Linked DNA regions of Sus scrofa. The protein of the gene in region 1 interacts with the protein of each later gene in a biochemical or structural test. Links are inferred from orthologs where the notes say so. Each region holds a gene or a part of one and is shown on either strand. Other genes may lie near its edges.

Region 1 (3,747 bases):
AATGGGAGCTGCAGCTGCCAGCCCATGCCACAGCCACAGCCACAACCACGCGGGATCCGAGCCGAGTCTGCGACCTACACCACAGCTCATGACAATGCTGGATCCCCAACCCACTGAGGCAGGGGATCGAACTCGCATCCTCCTGGATACTGGTGGAGTTTGTTACCGCCGAGCCACGACGGCAACTTCCCCTGTTTTAAAGATAAGGAAGCCCAGCAAGGTGCAGTGACTTGGTTAAGGTCACACGGGAAGCTGGGGGTAAGCATGGAGATTTCCTGCCCACACTTTGTGGTGGGGGCTGCAGACACTGCAGTACAAATCCCCACTCTTGGGTGGAGGACTGGGACTGGGGGGTGGGGTAGGGGAGAGGCAATGGGTGTTACGAGCTGCTAACAGTGCCAGGCAGGAAGTGGACAACAAGCTAGGAAAGTGGCAATGGGGGGAGGGCAACGAAGGCAAGGCTGACCCTCCCTGGGCAAGGTGCAAGTCCACGGGGGATCAGGGTGGGGATCTAAGCGGGAAGTCCCAGAGACAGGAGGACAGGTTCTCATCTGGGGGAAGGGTGGAGGCAGCCACAGGCACCTGACGTTGGCCTTTCTGAGCCTCAGTCTCCTCCTCTTTGAAATGGGGCTGATGAGCCCCAGCGCAGAGGGCAGCTGGGGGTCAGATTAAGAAATGTCGACGCACTCGGTGCACAATGCACCCAGACTCATAGTAGGCCCTCAAAAAGGGGGCACTTTTCTTCCTTCGAGTCCGAGGACCCAGGCAAGAAAGAATCGCCCTCTGTTAAACAAAAGAACTGACTGTGGGCAGAGGCTGGGTCACGTCACAGGACGGCAGATGTCACAAGACAAAGCTCCCATAGACACCATCTTCCCCAGCCCCCTCCTGGGGCAGAGCTTAGAGAACAGACTTGCCCAAGGCCACACGGCCTGGCCGGTCCTCGTACACCTTGTGGCCTCTTTCTGCTGGAAAGTCTGTTGAACTGGGGTTGTCTGGAAGGGTGGTAGGGAAGAAGGAAACAGAAAGCAAGCCAACATTCTCCCAGCCCAGCTCTGAAGCTGTGCCCGGCCAGCCGTCTGGCCAAGGTGAAGGATACACATCCCTCATGGCTTCCAGGGTGGGTGCCCGCAGAATGTCTCGGATGCCAATGACGTTCTCGTGGCGGAAGCGTAGCAAGATCTGGATCTCTCGCAAGGTCCGCTGGCAGTAGGTCTGATGCTCAAAAGGGCTGATTTTCTTGATGGCCACTCGAGTCTTGCGCACATGGTCGTAAGCTGAGCTGAGAGGGCCGGAGAGATGTTGGTGGTGTGGCCTTACCAAGCGGGGGGAGTCCAGGCCCGGCGGCGGGCCCCACCCAGGCCTTGGCAGGGAGGGGAGGGAGCAGGAGAGACTGGCCAGAGCCAGTCATAAACAATGCTGGTTCCTTCCTGCTGTGAAGGCCTGGGATCTCCAGGGAGAAAGCTGGGGACCAGCCAGGCAGCCCTTCAGTGACTTCACAAACAGAGGAAGGGACTGACCGATCGCTGACTTCCCTTCTCCTCAACCCTTTCCATTCTAGTGGCCCTCACCCCTCATCCTCCCCTTCCCCGGATGGGCTCCCTCTACCCAAGACAGGGCCAGGGGCGGGAGGTGTGAGGGACATACAGGGAGGCGAATCCAGGAAGAAGGAGGGATGGGAGAGAAGGGATGCAGCAGGGGCGGGTGTCAGGGGGAGGTTCCCGGGCAGCAGAGCTAATCCCTGATGAACAAAGGCCCAGGGCCCCCAGTGGGGCTGGGAGAACTCACAGAGCCCTCCTGAAAGTTGCAAGAAGGCACTCCGGGACCCCCTCATTGCTCACTGGGTCCCTGGCCCCAGGCCCAAAGCCCTGCCCCACCCTGTCCAGCCCTGAGCTCTGCTCTTCTCTCCCAAACTCCTAGATTCGACTCCCGGGGGGCAGATCCCAGGCGCCCTTTCCCTGGGAAGGGTCCTTCCTGCCGTTTTCACCAAGGATATGACCTCCCCCAGAAGACTTATTCTCTTCTCTTCGCCCTGTGGCTATAGACTGCCCAAGGTCCCCACAGCTCCCCCACCTAGAGGCCCTTCCCTTCATTAGAGAAGGTTCCCCTCAAAACCCCCCAAGCCCCCCTCTTCTTAGATCGTAGGCAGCGCCCCCTCCCCCAGAAAGCACTCCAAGGCCCTCTCCCTGGGGCGCTCTCCAGCCTCCCGAAGCCCCTGCGGCTTCACGATGCTCAGAGACCCCAAGGCCTTAGAGAGCTCTCAGCACCCCTCCCTGGGATCGCCCTCCTCTAAGACGCCCCCTCCCCTGGAACGCCCCTCACCTGACCATGCCGTACGCGCCCTCGCCGATGTATTGCAGCTGCGTGTAGCGCGGGCCCACGTCGAACGGCTGCCCCTTTACTATCTCCACTTCCCCCGGGACCCCAGGGCCGACCCCATCGGCTCCCCGGGGCTCCCCGCCCCCGCCCCCCTGAGCCGCCGCCGCCGCCGCCATCTCCACTCCTCCCCTCCCGCCCGCCCGCCTCCCCCCCCGGCGGCCCCGCCCCTTCCCGCCCGCCCTGTCACCCGCGGAGCCGCGCGCGCGCCAGACCCCGCCCCCGCCCGCCCCCGCGCCCGTCACGTGACCCCCACCCCCCCGCAGCGGCGCCCAGCTTTCTGGGCACGGATGCCATGGTCCCTGGCACTTGTGGGCTCCGTCTACTCGGTCAATCTAGAAGCTCCCCAGGGCCGTCTGAGACGGTCCAGAACCCCACTCCCCCCCTCCAATGCAGAACAGCCAGTAGGGCCGCCCCAGTGACCTCACCCAGAGCCACCAAACAAGGGCTGGGATGAGGGGCCAAGACTGGGCCGCCTGGTCCCCGCTGCTTTTGCCAGCCCCACTCAGCCCGGCTGAGTGGTCCGGCTCCAGATGGAACCTTAGGGGACCCTCACCAGCCCTCTGGCGTTTGGCCTCCCTGAGCCCGGCCCGATGCTAAGTGATCCCATGCATATTTCACAAAAGCGGTGGGAGATGGCTTTCTCCTAGAGGTAGCCTGCCTTTCACAAATGAGGAAACTGAAGGCTGAGCAGCGCAAGGTCCTTTGGAATCGCGCAGACAACTTGAGATCTGGAAAGCCCAGGTGTCCGGACTCCCAGCCTAATGGCTTTTGACTGGAGGCCTGCCAGAGTGGGCTAGGGACCTGGCCTCAGCACCCAGGCGGTACTGGTATCCCCAGGATCATATCATTGATGATCCCATGCTTCCTTTACAGGGAAAGGGGGGGAGAGTCCAGAGAGCTGCATGCAAGGTTGACACGATCAGGCTTTGCCCAAATATAGCAAGACGGGTAACTTTTTTTCTGTCATTGGATTTGGCAAAAATTGGAATCCTGTTAAGATCATCATATTTTGATTCTGTATGAGACTTGAACATATACTTAATACTTGGCCCACTCTAGTCGCTTCATTAGAACAATCCCACAATATAAACGTCAACTGCTTTTCTTTCTTTTTTTTCTTTTTGCTTTTCAGGGCCACACCCACGGCATATAGAGGTTCCCAGGCTAGGGGTCCAATTGGAGCTACAGCTGCCGGCCTACACCACAGCCACAGACACGCCAGATCTGAGCCGTGTCTGTGACCTACACCACAGCTCAGGGCAACACTGGATCCTTAACCCACTGAGCAAGGCCAGGGATCGAACCCACAACCTCATGGCTCTGGTCAGATTTGTTAACCACTGTGACACGACGGGAACTTCTCATCTG
Region 2 (3,647 bases), on another chromosome or scaffold:
CAGGACAGAGTTTCTGGAGTGAGTGGGCTCTGAGTAGCCACGTGCAGATCACGTGGCCGTCCCGAGAAATCCATCTTTGGAGCTGGGTGGGAAAAGGTGACTTCTCGAAAGAAGGGGAGAGATGCAGATAGCTGAGTTGGTGAGAGAGGCCCCAATGTCTATGGTGCTACCTGGGATAAAAGTGCAAAGTCACATACCGGCCTCACTCAGGGCCCTCTCAGGAGCGTGTATCCTTCTGGGGGAGGAAAGGAACAGATATTTGTGTGGTAGCAGCTGTGGGTGGGTTGGCTTCTCATGGGGGGAGGGGAAGGGGTGGGGGAAGGGCAGCGGCGCTGAAAGAAGACAGGTTTGTTCTTCTGTTGCACGTCACGTCTGCTTTGCTTTTTTTGGTTTGAAACAGATGCCAACAACACAGACAGCTTGTCCCAGCCACTCAGGAGCCCTGGCGTCCCTGGGTACAAATACCGACTGGAATCTGCAGACCTGCCCTCCGACCCTTCTCTGACCCCGGACACCACGGAAGTCCTGGTTTGGGGGTTAAAGTCTGATGCAGGGTACAAGGCCACTGTTTATCCCCGGGCAGCAGATGGCCCCGAAGGACACCCCCAGGCCACAGAGTTCAAAACAAGTATGTTGAATTTTGTAACATAGCCACAGCCAGAGCTTTCTAGCACAAAATTTGTCTTCTGGGATTCTGGTTCTGAATTACCTCTTGCTTCTTAAGTAGTTTTGCTGTTGGAGGGAGTTTAAGTAGTTTGTTGTCAGAGGGAGTTTTCTGGAAGAGATTTTTGGACAGAGCAGATCCAGTAAGTTTCTTTTCCTTTTCTTTTTTTTTTGGCTGCACCCATGGCATATAGAAGTTCCTGGGCCATGGAGTTCCTGTTGTGGCTCAGTGGGTTAAGAACCCGACTAATATCCATGAGGATGTGGGTTCGATCCCTGGCTTTGCTCAGTGAGTTAAGTAAGGATCCAGTGCTGCCACGAGCATAGTTTGCAAATGCCGCTTGGATCTGGTGTTGTGGTGGTCGTGGTGTAGGTTGGCAGCTGCAGCTCCGATTCAGCCCCTACACAGGGAACTTCCTTAGGCTGCAGGTGCAGCCCTAAAGAGGAAAAACAAAAAAGAAAAAAAAAACAAAGTTCCTGGGCCAGGGATCATACCTGCTCCACAGCAGTGACCTGAGCCACAGCAGTGACAATACCAGATCCTTCACCGCTAGGCTGCCGGGAAACTCTGTTTCTTCTTCACTTTGTGTCCGAGACCCTTCTTTCATGGAACTCAGTGCAGCGTGTTGAGCAGCTGCCATGTGCAGACGCTAGCTGCTGCCTCAGTCTCTCTTTCCTTTGACTCTGCAGACTAGCCAATGAGTCCAACTACTGTGATGTTTTTCTCTTGAACTTGATCTTCACTTTGTCCATGTTGGTTAGGAGTTTTCCCCTTGAAAGACGAAAATGTGTTTCTTCTTTTGACCTGATCTTGGAAGGCCTGCTGACCTTCCTGTGACATTTGCTGGCACCCACAAGTGCCAGGTATATTTCTATCTCTAATTTGTCAGCACTCCCACTCTGTATGTGGAACAATATTTAGAGGCTTTTGGGATCGGTGCTGATGAGAGGGTTAAGAAACGCATGGCTCCTCCCCTCGAGGGATGCCCGTATGGATGGGGAATTGAGGCAAATGTACATGAGAAGTCCATGGTCAGCCTCTGTGGGCTCAGAAACAAATGCTGCAGCCCTGTAGTCCTCAGGGGCTCGGTGGCAGGCAGCACAGACCGACTCTGGTTATGTTATCCCCAAATATATCTGTTCCAAAAGGCTGTCAGAGACCCATAGAATGGAGGGAGTGAGTGTGAGGCTGGAGGTCAAGGACAGAAACCAGGCTAGCATCCAGGAAAGTCTGGACTACGCTGGACTGGTGACCCTCCCTCCAGATTCTAAGGTGGTGAGGGGAAAGGGGCTCCTCCAGGGGTGCCGTTGACAATGATGGGGCTGTCCTACTCACAGGATGCTAGTGCAGGGGTGAGGGGGGCTGGGATCTAGGCTGTGGGCCCCTCACCAAGCCATGCACCCCAGGGCAGAGCCATCCAGAGGAGGGTCTCTCTGCCTGATTTGCTAAAAGAGGCCCTGCAGATTAGTGTGGGCTGGGGCCCTCCTTTTTAAAGTGATTCGAGTGGAATTAAATAATTGATTATATGTTAAGCTTTTGGACAAATGGATACACACAGAGTCTGATTTGTGTTGATTGTCGTAGTGCCTAATAAATGATATCTGTATTATGTACACTCGTAATAGTTATGTTATGGTCTTAACCTCCTCTCTACTGTGGGTGTATGTATATGTATGTGTGTCTATATTCATGTACAGACACACACCCAGACTTTTTTTCAAGTAACTATCCAGGTGGAGTTAAGAGAACCACTGGAGGATGTTGAGACACCCAAGACTAGTTGTGGTAGAAAATCATGTCCCAGGCTGGAGAGCAAGGGGGAGGAGACAGTGTTTCTAGAGCCCAGTGAGGGGCTGGGGCCGTGGAGGACGCAGCTGGACCGGAACAGGTGACCCAGAGCAGGAGGCAGTACAGAGAAAGACTCTAGTTGTTTTCCTCCTCCAGCCCTCCAGGAGCCTGCCTGTGTCACCCGTTGGTGGAACCTGGTCCCAGGCCACCTGGCAGGAATGCCACTCACCCCCCAACCTGGGCCCCAGGGATGCAATGTGCAGGGGTCAGCCTCCTGGACACAGAACAGGCAGAAGAAGGTGGAGGGTAACTTGGGAGGGTGGTGTGTGCAAATGATGAATAACTTGTACTCTTTGAGTCAGAATTGTTATCCTGCTTTCATAGATGAGGAAGCTCAGGTTTTCCTAAGATCCACCTGCCTATTAAAGCTGAGCTGACCTTGGAATCCAGAGCTGCCCCCTGCTAAAGCCTGTGATCTTTAAGTGATCATGTAGAGTATGTTTATATGCTTGAGACCTTTTGGGGTCACCCTGAACCTCGTGGGGGGCATGTTGTTTGAGGTGTCCATTGCGATCTCTAAGAGTCAGCTCACAAAGAAGAACACAGACTAACTCCCCAGGTGCAAGTGGTCAGGTGGTTTCTTCACTGAAGATGCTGCCTGAATTCTGCTGGGACCCCCATACAGTTGGGTACGTTGTAGTTGTACTTAAACGTGTAGAGTTGGAAGGAAGAATCACTGAGTGCTGCTTAGATTGGATGATGTGCCCTGCTGACAGCTCCTCTCTCTTTCTCTCTGTCTCTCTCTTTGGCTTGGCCCTTCTGGTGGTTGTTAACGCCTCTTGTGTCTTCGCAGATTCCAGTCAGGTTTTTGATATTAAAGTTGTGAACATCAGCGCCACCAGCTTGACCCTGACCTGGAAGATCAATGATCATGAGCCGTCCTCCGTCTATACCTATGAGATACAGGTTGCTGGCGAGACAGATTCCTTCAATCTCACTGTCAATGAGACTCAGGCCGTCCTCACTCCACTCAGATCGAGTTCCTTGTACAACATCACGGTGTGTCCTCTCCTCGACGGTGGTTCCACGGGCACGCCGGGCTTTCTCCAGGTGTACACCCGTGAGTCCACTCCTGCTTTGTTAACCTTTCATGCTTGCCTGCTCTGTGCCAGGCCCTGATACGAGACAGACTCTA
Region 3 (3,647 bases), on another chromosome or scaffold:
TTTTTATAAACACTTTCAGGGCTTTTTAGAAGCTAAGGTAAAAATGATTTTTGATGAGTCTTTTTTTTTTTTTCTTTTTTTTTTTTTAGGGTCACACGTGCAGCATATGGAAGTTCCCAGGCTGGGCATCCAATTGGAGATGCAGCTGTTGGCCTTCGGCACAGCCATAGCAACTCGGGATCTAAGCCACATCTGCAACCTTCGATGCAGCTCATGGCAACACTGGATCCTTAACTCACTGAGCAAAGCCAGAATTGAACCCCCATTCTCATGGATACTAGTTGGGTTTGTTACCACTGAGCCATGATGGAAACTCCAATTGGACTAGTTTTTTTTTTTTTTTTTTTTTTTTTTTTTTTTTTTTTTTTGTCTTTTTGCCATTTCTTGGACCGCTCCCGTGGCATATGGAGGTTCCCAGGCTAGGGGTCCAATCGGAGCTGTAGCCGTCAGCCTACACCAGAGCCACAGCAACACGAGATCCAAGCTGCATCTGTGACCTACACCACAGCTCACAGCAACGCCGGATCCTTAACCCACTGAGCAAGGCCAGGGATCAAACCCGCAACCTCATGGTTCCTAGTCGGATTCATTAACCACTGTGCCACTACGGGAACTCCTGGACTAGTCTTGATTAGTCATTTCTGAAAATTTCACTTTCTATGTTTATCAGAGGCCATTTGGCCAGCATATAGAAGACACTACCAGTTTTGTTTTGTTTTATTCTAATTTAGACCATATCTCTAGACCACATGCCCTTAAACACAAGTGACCTGAAAGAGAGACAAAGTCTGATGGTACAATAGGTCTGCTCACTATTATATGCCCAGCACAGCTCATGTTTTCACCTGTGAGCCAAAATGTCTTTGTTTCTTTTTTGTTTTTAGTGAAGGTTTTCCCTCTGTTTAAGTTCCAGCCTCTGTGAGCAACCTCAAAGGATCCAATCGAAACATGACAGACAGTCTCTGGTTCAGCTGGAGTCCAGCCTCTGGGGATTTTGACTTTTATGAGCTGATTCTCTATAACCCCAATGGTACAAAGAAGGAAAACTGGAAAGACAAGAACCTGACGGAGTGGCGTTTCCATGGCCTCATTCCCGGAAGGAAATACACGCTGTGTGTGGTAACTCACAGTGGAGATCTCAGCAACAAGGTCCTGGGGGAGAGCAGAACAGGTAAGAAGCCCTGTTGCCAATGGCCAAGGGTTGGTGGGAAGCAGCCTCCAAAGGTGCACTTCAATTACGGGTTTTCTTCCTGAGAAATAAAATCAATAATTCTGTGCTATGGACTAGCCTCTGACCTTGGGAAGGCCCTATAGTAAAGTGGAAAAAGGAGACAGGGGAGTTCCCATAACGACTAAGTGATTAACGAATCCAACGAGGAACCATGAAGTTGCAGGTTCGATCCCTGGCCTTGCTCACTCAGTGGGTTAAGGATCTGGTGTTGCCATGAGCTGTGGCGTAGGCCGCAGACACGGCTCAGATCTGGCATTGCTGTGGCTCTGGCATAGGCCAGTGACACAGCTCTGATTAGACCCCTAGCTTGGGAACCTCCACATGCCCCAGGTGAGGCCCTAGAAAAGACAGAAAGAAAAAAAAAAAAAAAAAAAAGGAGACAGACTTGGGGTAAAAAGATCTAGGTCCTTAGCTCTGCCACTTACTTATGTGCAGCTGGGCGTGTCACAAGCACTTCTAAGCCTCAGCTTTTGTAGCCATAAAATGGGGAGCATCATCATCATTACATTCCTCTGAGCAGTGCTTTCTTAATTTTCTTATTTCTTGGGCACACACAGATAACATTAATATCTATATGCTACCCTGGAATCAATGAACAAGGCTATCTGTAATTAGATGGAAGTGTCTATGGACTCTAGCCTTCACAACCCAAAACCTGATGGACTAAATACATTCTCATGGAGTTCCTGTTGTGGCTCAATGAATTAAGAACCTGACATAGGATCCTTGAGGATGCGGGTTCAATTCCTGGTCTCACTCTGTGGGTTAAGGATCTGGTGTTGCCTTGGCTGAGGCACAGGCTTGTAACTGCAGCTCCAATTCCACTCCTAGCCAGGGAGTGGCCCTCCTAGGCAGGTGTGGCCCTAAATGAAAAATAAATGAATATCAAGTTAAATACCTTTTCACACTTGTAACCTGTGTGGGGCACACTCATGCTCCATATCACCCTCATAAAAAAGTTCTGGTTATGGAAATTAAAGAAAATGTATATAAAACACCTGAGGACAAACTATTACATTTTGAATGAATAAGGAATGAAGTCCTACAGTACAGCACAGGGAACTATTTCCAGTCTCTTAGGATAGACTACAATGGAAGATAATATAAGAAAGGGAATGTATGACTGGCTCACTTTGCTGTAAAGCAGAAATTGGCACATTGTAAATCAACTGTACTTTTTTTTTTTTTTTTGTCTTTTTGCCATTTCTTGAGCCGCTCCTGCGGCATATGGAGGTTCCCAGGCTAGGGGTCAAATCGGAGCTGTAGCTGACGGCCTACACCACAGCCACAGCAATGCGGGATCCGAGCTGCGTCTGCAATCTACACCACAGCTCATGGCAATGCCAGATCCTTAACCCACTGAGCAAGGCCAGGGATCGAACCCTCAACCTCATGGTTCCTAGTCAGACTCGTTAACCACTGAGCCATGACGGAAACTCCAAATCAACTATACTTTTAAAAATGATTTAAAAAGACACTTGAGGACAGTGTCTTACACATGCTAAACACTATATAAATGGAAGCTCCTGTTATTATACTATTGCATTAACTCTTCCTAAGAAGTACATTAAAAGTACATCTGATGTCACTCAGCTGTCTTATCTGTATATCTCATGCAGAGAAGCGATTATGTATTTTTCACTTTCTCCTACATACAGCCCCGAGTCCTCCCAGTCTTATGTCATTTGCCGATGTTGCAAACACATCCTTGGCCATCACCTGGAAGGGGCCTCCAGACTGGACAGACTACGATGACTTTGAGCTGCAGTGGTTCCCTAGAGATGCCATCACAGTCTTTAACCCCTACAACAACAGAAAATCAGAAGGACGCATCGTGTATGGTCTTCGTCCAGGAAGATCCTATCAATTCAGTGTCAAGACTGTCAGTGGTGATTCCTGGAAAACCTACAGCAAACCAGTTTTTGGATCTGTGAGGACAAGTATGATATGTTTTGCTACTCTTGGTTCTCGGATGATGGGGGAAGGAAGTATGTGTTGAGACATCTTCTTCCAATGGGGCTTGGTATAAATTCACATTTTTACCTAGAGATTGGTTAGGTTTGAATTCAGGCAGACGTTCTATATAGATTTGTTCATTTATTCAATTTTAGCAATAGTGGACAATAAAGAACTAATCTCTGCCCTCGTGGAGCTTTCAATTGAGTGGGAGGTACTATCATTAAAAAGACATTTAGGATGTGATGAAGGAAGTATTTGCGCTAGAGAAACACATATAAGGGAGTTTCCTAGGAGAAGAACCATCCACATGAAGACCTAAGGAAGGAGTAAGACTCACCGGTGGAGACAGGGAAAGAAGTAAGGAGTATTCCTGGTAGAGAGAATAAAATATTCCAAAACCAAACAGAAGACAGGAATACAAAGGAGTTTTAGTTGGCTGGAGGATAAAAGGTGAGGA

Evidence for each region.
Region 2: of the proteins of MAPK3 (region 1) and PTPRJ, one has a biochemical effect on the other in vitro, tested with the Homo sapiens proteins (2 studies listed by IntAct, with this or other methods). The link is inferred for Sus scrofa from reciprocal best matches to the Homo sapiens genes MAPK3 and PTPRJ.
Region 3: of the proteins of MAPK3 (region 1) and PTPRB, one has a biochemical effect on the other in vitro, tested with the Homo sapiens proteins (2 studies listed by IntAct). The link is inferred for Sus scrofa from reciprocal best matches to the Homo sapiens genes MAPK3 and PTPRB.

Annotation. Positions count from the first base shown.
Region 1 is NC_010445.4:18,296,895-18,300,641, forward strand, and holds the start of MAPK3 (mitogen-activated protein kinase 3), read right to left. Parts: upstream 2,517-3,747; 5' UTR 2,496-2,516; coding exon 2,323-2,495; intron 1,283-2,322; coding exon 1,100-1,282; intron 1-1,099.
Region 2 is NC_010444.4:14,592,256-14,595,902, reverse strand, and holds part of PTPRJ (receptor-type tyrosine-protein phosphatase eta), read left to right. Parts: intron 1-400; coding exon 401-628; intron 629-3,305; coding exon 3,306-3,572; intron 3,573-3,647. UniProt on the Homo sapiens protein: Tyrosine phosphatase which dephosphorylates or contributes to the dephosphorylation of CTNND1, FLT3, PDGFRB, MET, KDR, LYN, SRC, MAPK1, MAPK3, EGFR, TJP1, OCLN, PIK3R1 and PIK3R2. Plays a role in cell adhesion, migration, proliferation and differentiation.
Region 3 is NC_010447.5:34,700,809-34,704,455, reverse strand, and holds part of PTPRB (receptor-type tyrosine-protein phosphatase beta), read left to right. Parts: intron 1-907; coding exon 908-1,171; intron 1,172-2,889; coding exon 2,890-3,171; intron 3,172-3,647. UniProt on the Homo sapiens protein: Plays an important role in blood vessel remodeling and angiogenesis. Not necessary for the initial formation of blood vessels, but is essential for their maintenance and remodeling. Can induce dephosphorylation of TEK/TIE2, CDH5/VE-cadherin and KDR/VEGFR-2.